Linked DNA regions of Macaca mulatta. The protein of the gene in region 1 interacts with the protein of each later gene in a biochemical or structural test. Links are inferred from orthologs where the notes say so. Each region holds a gene or a part of one and is shown on either strand. Other genes may lie near its edges.

Evidence for each region.
Region 2: the proteins of SUMO2 (region 1) and ZMYM3 form a complex in vitro, tested with the Homo sapiens proteins (2 studies listed by BioGRID). The link is inferred for Macaca mulatta from reciprocal best matches to the Homo sapiens genes SUMO2 and ZMYM3.

Annotation. Positions count from the first base shown.
Region 1 is NC_133421.1:84,873,021-84,877,730, forward strand, and holds the start of SUMO2 (small ubiquitin-related modifier 2), read right to left. Parts: upstream 3,193-4,710; 5' UTR 3,064-3,192; coding exon 3,043-3,063; intron 1,429-3,042; coding exon 1,297-1,428; intron 1-1,296. UniProt on the Homo sapiens protein: Ubiquitin-like protein that can be covalently attached to proteins as a monomer or as a lysine-linked polymer.
Region 2 is NC_133426.1:77,711,639-77,715,690, reverse strand, and holds part of ZMYM3 (zinc finger MYM-type protein 3), read left to right. Parts: coding exon 1-113; intron 114-336; coding exon 337-502; intron 503-1,148; coding exon 1,149-1,246; intron 1,247-1,328; coding exon 1,329-1,491; intron 1,492-1,746; coding exon 1,747-1,859; intron 1,860-2,029; coding exon 2,030-2,204; intron 2,205-2,386; coding exon 2,387-2,533; intron 2,534-3,275; coding exon 3,276-3,379; intron 3,380-3,700; coding exon 3,701-3,869; intron 3,870-4,052. UniProt on the Homo sapiens protein: Plays a role in the regulation of cell morphology and cytoskeletal organization.

The DNA.
Region 1 (4,710 bases):
AAGGTGGGCGGATCACTTGAGGTCAGGAGTTGAGGTTAGGTCTACCAAAAATACAAAATTAGCTGGGCATGGCGGCGCACGCCTGAAATCCCAGCTACTCAGGAGGCTGAGGCATAAGAATAGCTTCAACTTGGCCGGGCACGGTGGCTCAAGCCTGTAATCCCAGCACTTTGGGAGGCTGAGACGGGCGGATCACGAGGTCAGATCGAGACCATTCTGGCTAACACGGTGAAACCCCGTCTCTACTAAAAAAAAAATACAAAAAACTAGCCAGGCATGGTGGTGGGCGCCTGTAGTCCCAGCTACTCGGGAGGCTGAGGCAGGAGAAGGGCATAAACCCGGGAGATGGAGCTTGCAGTGAGCTGAGATCTGGCCACTGCAGTCCAGCCTGGGCGACAGAGCAAGACTCCGTCTCGGGGGGGAAAAAAAAAAAAAAAAGAATAGCTTCAACTCAGGAGGCAGAGGTTGCAGTGAGCAGAGATTGAACCACTGCACTCCAGCCTGGGCAATAGAACAAGATTCTGTCAAAAAAAAACCAAAAAAAAACAAAAAAAACCCCACGATTTACAAGGTAGATAAGTTCTAGCTTAAAAAAATACGGCAAGACTCCCATCTCAAAAAAAAAAATAAAAAAAAAGACTTCTTGGTCTGGCGCAGTGGCTCATGCTTGTAATCCCAGCACTTTGGAAGACCGAGGCGGGTGGATCACCTGAGGTCAGGAGTTTGAGACAAGCCTAGCCAATATGATGAAACCCCATCTCTACCAAAAATACTAAAAAAAATTGGCCAAGCGTGGTGGCAGGCACCTGTAATCCCAGCTACTCAGGAGGCTGAGGCAGGAAAACTGCTTGAACCCGGGAAGTGGAAGTTGCAGTGAGCTGAGCTCACGCCACTGTACTTCAGCTTGAGCAACAAGAATGAAACTCCGTCTCAAAAAAATAAAATAAAATAATAAAAGACTCTTAAGTAATTTTACCAAGTTCACTCTTACTTTCTTATAAACATAAAATTACATTTCCTTGGTTAAAAAAAAAACCAAAAAACAAGTATTGTAAATACAATTTGATGGATTTCTGGCACAGGACTGGAACCACATATAATACTAAGCAAATCATCCTAAGGGTTTTCATGAGCAAGCTACCAAGTGCACGATAAAACTGACATGCCAAGTACAAGTGCATATTCATCCCATCAAAAAGTCACTGTAGTATTATGCCAGGCTAGTTTTTGTTCCCATGAAAATAAGATTTTTAAAAATAGTTTTATTCAGTGGAAGTACACATATGAATTCCTCACCTGTCGTTCACAATAGGCTTTCATTAGTTTACTAAGTGGTGTATGCCTCTTAATCTTAAACTGCACCACAGAACCATCCTGCCCCGCCACCTTCAAATTAATATGATCGTTGTTCTCAGTCTTGACTCCTTCCTGTTAAAAGAAAAATAAAAGTATAATTTGGGAAATGTGATCAACACACACTTTTATAAAGCAGCAGCAGCCCTAAGTTGCTTCAAAAATCAACAGGTTTCTCATACGGTATGCTAAAACGGCATACGGCTGTTTTCAGCTGCTGAAATCAATGTGAAAGAGGAGAAATCCTGCAGCAACAGTATTAGATAGCTGTCAGATACAGAAAAGCCTACATGCAATACTATCAGTAACAACAATACATGTTTAAAGTTGGGTCCTATTCAGTGTATTGAACGTTCTCTTGAAGCTAAACTTTCTAAAATGGCATATATCACTCCCAAAATATATATTTTACCCCCAAAAAAAGTTAAAAATAAGAGTCTCTTTTCTAAGCACTTTAAGTACAACTGCAAGAAACAAAACAATAAATCTACAGCCTGCCATTCAAAACTCATTACCGTTGTCGTTAAAAAGTTACCAAACTCAGTTTAATAACCTAAATCCAATCTCCATTAAAGTAAACACACACACGAAAAATCGAAGAATATCCCGATTCCCTCCGGAACAGCGGTAATACTCAGGACCACAGTTACGTTCTCCTCTATTAGCAGCTTCATTTTTATCTTCGGTTAAGAGCACTTATTCTCCCCTCCCCTTTGTTGTCATGGGTCAAATACACAGTTTTATCCCAAGTGTTTCTTGTAGATTTCGACCCAACCTAAAGTTGTCCAAAATCGAGTGTAGAAGGCATGCTGTAGCCCTAAAACGCTTCAGAAAGTAAAGGCGCGAGAGGCGGGAGGTGTCACCAAACTAAAAGCAGCAAGTCCCGTGTGCCCCGATGATGGGTGTCCCCCAGTCCTCCCGGGAAGTCTTCGGGTGCCTCAAAAGCCGCATTCAAAAGTTAAGCCGCACAAAGTCTCTCTGCTCCTACCTGTGCCTCCAACTTCATGAAACCACATGGTCTTCGCGGATTAGGGGTTCGTTGGCACCCAGGGAAAAGCCGCTGCCCCTCCCCCCTCAGGTCCCTGAGGCCATTAAAGTGGGAAATACTCCACGGGAATCCCCCTACCCCCAGGCCCAGTACGGCGGCCAGCGGGCATCCAGGTTCCTGCTCATCAGCAGCCCATTGATTCGCCCCGAACCCTCGCCCCGCCGCCGCCGCCCCGGGCAGGAGTCCCCAGATGCCCGCGGTTTCTACCCCTGAGAGGTGAAGCCCGAGCCCAGGGGACTCCCCGCCGCCTCGGAGACTGCAACACCCGACGCGGGGTCGGCGCAGGGTGGAGACCCCGCGCGCCCTAACGCCCCTCCTCACGCGCGCCGGACGGCTGGGCCAAGAATCCCCGTTCGGGGCTGGTGGGCCCGCGGGCGTCCGCGATCTGCCCGCCCAACTCGCGCCCCGCGCGCACTCGGAGGCCGCCGGGGGCGGGAGAGAGCGGCGGGGCCTCCTCCGGCGCGGGAGGGAGGAAGAGAGGGAGGGAGGAAAATGGCGCGGAGCGCCGGGGCCTGAGCTGCGGCCGGCCCTGTGGGGGGCCCGGGAAGGCGCTGGGAGCCAGCGGCGAGCTCTGGCCGGACCCCGGCCCGCGCCCTGACCCCGACCGCGCGGCGAGGCGAAGGGGCCGGCGCCGAGCTCACCTTGGGCTTTTCGTCGGCCATGGCGAGCGCCGGAGTCTCCTCAGCTGCCGCTTCACAAAAGAGGTACCAGGTCCGCACCAAACGAGCACACAAGCAGCACCAGGAGCGGCAGAAGAAGGAGGCGGCAGCGGTGGACGAGGGAGAGGGTGCGCGCACGTCGTGCGCTCCCTCCCCCCACCCTGCGTGCGCGAGCACGAGCCGCCGGGGCCTCCCATTGGCTGGCGCCTCGCGGGAGCGCGCAACGCTTACATAACCACCCCCACCCCCCGCCCCGCGCCACCGCGTCCTGGGCCAGGCGCCCGCCCGGCCGGCGGGAAGAAGCGCGGACACGCGCACCCGGCCCGCCGCGGGGGCGCGCCTGGCTCTGGGCGGGGCTGTATTGTCCTCCTTCGTGGTGGAGCATAATCAAAATGGCTTCCAGCTGGTCCTCGGTGGGAACGATGAGGCTCGAGGCTTTAGACGTGAGCCATAGGCCAGGGAAGGCTGACTGACTAGAGGAAGAAGGGGATTCCTAAATCAAAGCCCCAGCATGAGGTTCTGGAAAAATCTCTCTCTTTCAGTGGACCAGCAGCCCTCCCATGGTTACTTCCTCTCAGTCAGTCTTAACCTGCTTCCCACCGGACTCTTGCCTCAAATGCAGTGTCTTCTTCTTTTTTTTTTTTTTTTTTTTTGAGACGGAGTCTCGCTCTGTTGCCCAGGCTGGAGTGCAGTGGCACGATCTCGGCTCACAGCAACCTCTGCCTCCCAGGTTCAAGCGATTCTCCTGCCTCAGCCTCCCGAGGAGCTGGTATTACAGGCGCACGCCACAACACCCGGCTAATTTTTTGTATTTTTCGTAGGGACAAGGTTTCCCCGTGTTAGCCAGGATGGTCTCGGTCTTCTGACCTCGTGATCCGCCCGCCTCGGCCTCCCAAAGTACTGGGATTACAGGCGTGAGCCACCATACCCGGCCTGCAGTGTCTTCTTCTGTCCTGCTGGTAACCCTAGACTTTGACTAGCTACGGGAAAATGTTCGTGTATTCATTCAACGAACTCCTTACTCATCGCCTATCTTCCAAGAGGAAACAGTATCCTTAAGCGAGAACTACCCAACAATCAAGCTTCCAGCCAATTTAATCATTTCCTCCTTGCATCCAGTTAAAACATAGACATGCATCCCTCCTGTCTGAAGAACAATCCAGTGTGTGCACTGGATTCCATCTTGCTCCTCCCCCTGGGCTTTATTATTTGCTTTTGTCCCTGAATTTTCTTCCTCTCCTCCGTTAGTATAGAAAAAAAAAAAAAAAAAGAAGAAGCTCTCAATTCTATTAAGTTACCATCCTATCTCTCTCCATTCTTGGCCAAACAGCTTGAAAAAATGTCCCTGCCAGCTGTCTCCAACCCCTCCCCTCCCACTCACTCCTCAACCCACTGCAATCTGGTGCTGTCCCCAAAGTTCCACTAAAACTGCTCTCCACAAGGTCACCGCAGACTTCTTTGCTGAATCCAGTATGCTTCTCAGTTTGTCACTCTTTCTCTTGAACTTTGCAGGAGGTAGGTTTTCCTCTCATCTCTAGCCTGTCCTTTGTTCTCTCTGCAATTTCTTTTTCTTACTCACTCCTTCCCTTAACTGTTCCTTAGGGTTTTCTTCAAGATCCTTTTATCACTCAATTCCCTCTCCGAGGATGA
Region 2 (4,052 bases), on another chromosome or scaffold:
GTACTTACTGCTCCCAGACTTGCCAGCGCGGAGTCACTGAGCAACTGGATGGCAGCACCTGGGACTTCTGCAGTGAGGACTGTAAAAGCAAGTACCTGCTGTGGTACTGCAAGGTAAGGAGGGTCAGCACGCGAGCGAGGCGGGAAAGAGGGCGGCGGGGAGCACAGGCTGTGGTACTAAGCTCGGGGTGTGGACAGATCTCCAGGCAGGGCAGCCAGCCTTCCATCTCTAAGCCGGCCCGATCTCCAAGCGGAGGAGCATGGCTTATCCCAGGGGAAAGAAAGGGCCCAACGCATTTTAGGGAGGCAGGTCTGACCATCCTTTTGACATCCTCAGGCTGCCCGGTGCCATGCCTGTAAGCGCCAGGGGAAGCTGCTGGAGACCATCCACTGGCGTGGGCAGATCCGTCATTTCTGCAACCAGCAGTGTCTTCTGCGCTTCTATAGCCAGCAGAACCAACCCAACCTGGATACCCAGAGTGGGCCCGAGAGCCTCCTGAACAGTGAGTCCCGGGCAGGGGGTACACTCTGTTAGAGGGGGCCTGGACTCTCCTAATCCTAAGCCTAGCCCCTTTCTCCTTCCTCTTGCATTCACCTCATCCCTGGCCAGATAGGGTGCTAGTACTGTGAACTGTATTCTCTTTTAGCTTCCGAACCCTGCGGTTCAGAAGGGGAAGTCTTATTTAAAACTTCTTGGAGTTAGCGTCTACTGATTGTCTATGAAATGTATATTATTAGGGAGTGGGTGCCTATCCTGATAGGATGGGGCATATAGGGGTTACGGTTACTTTTCTGAGATAAGGAAATCTCAGCATAAACTCTACCTTTAGTGAGACTGAAGACTGTCATTTCTAGAATGTTGCCCCTGCCCCTCCACAACTCCAGGGATACCCAGGCTATCTAAATGGAAGGTCTCAATTGTGGGTTTTTGGGGAAAATGTAATGTTTCATTCTCAAGGAGCAAAGAGTCTTTTAGGCTACTATTGCTGGGGCACAGAGGAGACTAGATCTGGGATGGCAAGGGGGGCAAATCCTAGAACTTCCCATCTGTATTTGGTGTACCTGTTAATGAAGCTCTCCTGGAACAGGGGTAAGGAAAATGGAGAGCTAGTCCCTTGGATGAGAGCATTCATTTGTTTTGATCTACAGGTCAGTCTCCTGAGTCAAAACCCCAGACACCCTCTCAAACCAAAGTGGAGAACAGCAACACAGTGAGGACCCCAGAGGAAAATGGGAATTTGGGCAAGGTCGGGGCAAAAGCCAAGGGGGAGGATAATCTCAGAGGAGGGTACGGCAGTTGGCGGCACAAATGTTCCTTTTTCTTTGCAGATCCCTGTGAAGACCCGATCAGCTCCCACGGCTCCCACCCCTCCTCCACCCCCACCGCCCCCAGCAACACCCCGCAAAAACAAGGCTGCCATGTGTAAGCCGCTGATGCAGAATCGGGGCGTCTCCTGCAAGGTGGAGATGAAGTCCAAAGGGAGTCAGACAGGTGAGCCAGGGTACCTTGATGCCACAGGCTGTATTCCGGAGTCCTAGGCCTGCCAGCCCTATGTCCGTGAACTGGACAAGGGGATTCCTTAGGTAGCTGAAGCCTCATGCATATGGTTGTCCTAAAATCGTAGAGGTGTCTTTCAGCCATTGCTTCAAGGGCAGTTTTGTGACACTGAGCACGTTAGAGCTTTTGGCGGGTCCGATGTGATCAGTCCAGCAGGGTCTCTGAGAAGATCCCTTTTCTCGTCCACAGAAGAGTGGAAGCCACAGGTGATTGTGCTGCCCATCCCAGTGCCCATCTTCGTGCCAGTGCCTATGCATCTGTACTGCCAGAAAGTCCCGGTGCCTTTCTCGATGCCTATCCCGGTAAGTTTCCCTGCCCTTCCTGGCTGGGTCCTCCTTTCCCCTTCCAGGTTTGAGATCCACCCTTTCCCCTTACTCTCATCAACTGTCCCCCTTCACTCTCATCATCTGTCCCCCCCTTCCCCCAACTGCTGGTGTGGTTCTTGGCATTTAGTTGGGATTCGTGCCTCCAGGTGCCTGTGCCCATGTTCTTGCCCACTACCTTGGAGAGCACAGACAAGATTGTAGAGACCATTGAGGAGCTGAAGGTGAAGATCCCTTCCAACCCCTTGGAGGCCGACATCCTGGCTATGGCAGAAATGATTGCAGAGGCTGAGGAGTTAGACAAGGCCTCATCTGACCTTTGTGGTATGCCATAGATGGTGGCGATGAGGGAGACAGGGTGCTACCAGCGTGTCTCTGCCCGAGGGGGAGCTATTGATGATCTTGGTGCCTAGTAGAATGGGAGGATAGTTGGGATCAGCCCCTGAAAGCTTGTGAGGGTGCTAGCAGGAGCTTGTAGCCACTGAGCCCACTTCTCTGCTTCCCAGATCTTGTGAGCAACCAGAGTGCAGAGGGACTCCTGGAAGACTGTGACCTGTTTGGGCCTGCTCGAGATGATGTCCTGGCCATGGCAGTCAAGATGGCCAATGTCTTGGATGAGCCTGGGCAAGACTTGGAGGCAGACTTCCCTAAGAGTGAGTAAGATTGGAGCCGTGCCCACTGGGTATGGTAGCATTCGTGCCATCAGGAAGGGAATGTTCCTTGTGTCCCTGAGTATGACCCTGAAAAGTGTTCATTGTGATTCTAAGACAGAAGGTTCTCACAGGGAGCAGTGCCAGAGACACCAGGACAGGTGCATTCTTTTAGACTTCTGAGTCATGCTTTTTTTTATTATTTTTTTTAAACTGTAAAAAAACATAAAAATTTCACTATGTTCGGCCGGGCGCGGTGGCTCAAGCCTGTAATCCCAGCACTTTGGGAGGCCGAGACGGGCGGATCACGGGGTCAGGAGATCGAGACCATCCTGGCTAACACGGTTAAACCCCGTCTCTACTAAAAAAAATACAAAAATCTAGCTGGGCGTGGTGGCGGGCGCCTGTAGTCCCAGCTACTCGGGAGGCTGAGGCAGGAAACCCAGGAGGCGGAGCTTGCAGTGAGCAGAGATTGCGCCACTGCACTCCAGCCTGGGCGACAGAGGGAGACTCCGTCTCAAAAAAAAAAAAAAAAAAATTTTCACTATGTTCAACATGTTTACAGCTCAGTAGTTCACATTGCTGTGTTTTGTGTTTCTGTGACTCTGAGCATGCTTTTTGGTATAGCTTTACTGGTTCCTTTGGCTCATCTAGTGTCAAGTGGGCAAGTAGCAGGGGTGGGGCAGGAGGGCTGCAGGGTTGAGATCTTAAGAAATTGATTTCTTCTTTCTTTCCTTTTTATTAGATCCTCTGGACATTAATCCCAGTGTAGACTTCCTCTTTGATTGTGGCCTAGTAGGGCCTGAGGATGTGTCTACTGAACAAGACCTTCCCCGAACCATGAGGAAGGTAGGGCTGGGGCTACCATATGTACAAAAGAAGAATGGAGGCCCAAAGGGGAGAGGATGTGAGAGCCAAGCCAGCAACCATAGTTTGACCTTCCCTAACCTCCTTTCTCCAACACTAGAAGTACTGAGATAAAGCCAAACTTTACTCTTCCCCCATTTCACAAGGTCATCAAAGCTATTCCTGGGGCTCTGTGCTGTGGAAGTTTGCTGTGTACTTACATCAGCCCCTGCCCCGGCCAGCAGTAAATATGGTGCTGACTAGCTTTCTCACCTTGCCTCTGGCCTTACCTCTGCCATGCCCCTGCTTTCTCTTCTCCTCCAGGGTCAAAAGCGGCTGGTGCTTTCCGAAAGCTGCTCCCGGGACTCCATGAGCAGTCAGCCTAGTTGTACCGGGCTCAACTATTCATATGGTGTCAATGCTTGGAAGTGCTGGGTGCAGTCAAAATATGCCAATGGAGAAACCAGCAAGGGTGATGAGCTGCGCTTTGGCCGTAAGTACTTGCGGTTGGGGGTAGGGGAGGGCAAAGACAGGGAGGAGGAGGGGAAAGGGAAGAAGGGGCTGGGCCTGTGATTCAGCTGAAGATGTCTAGGAGTGATAAGGGTGTGATGACTTAAGGATGCCCTGTGAAGATGGGGAGGAGTTGTAGATGAAAGGAAATGCTGTCTAGGTTCAA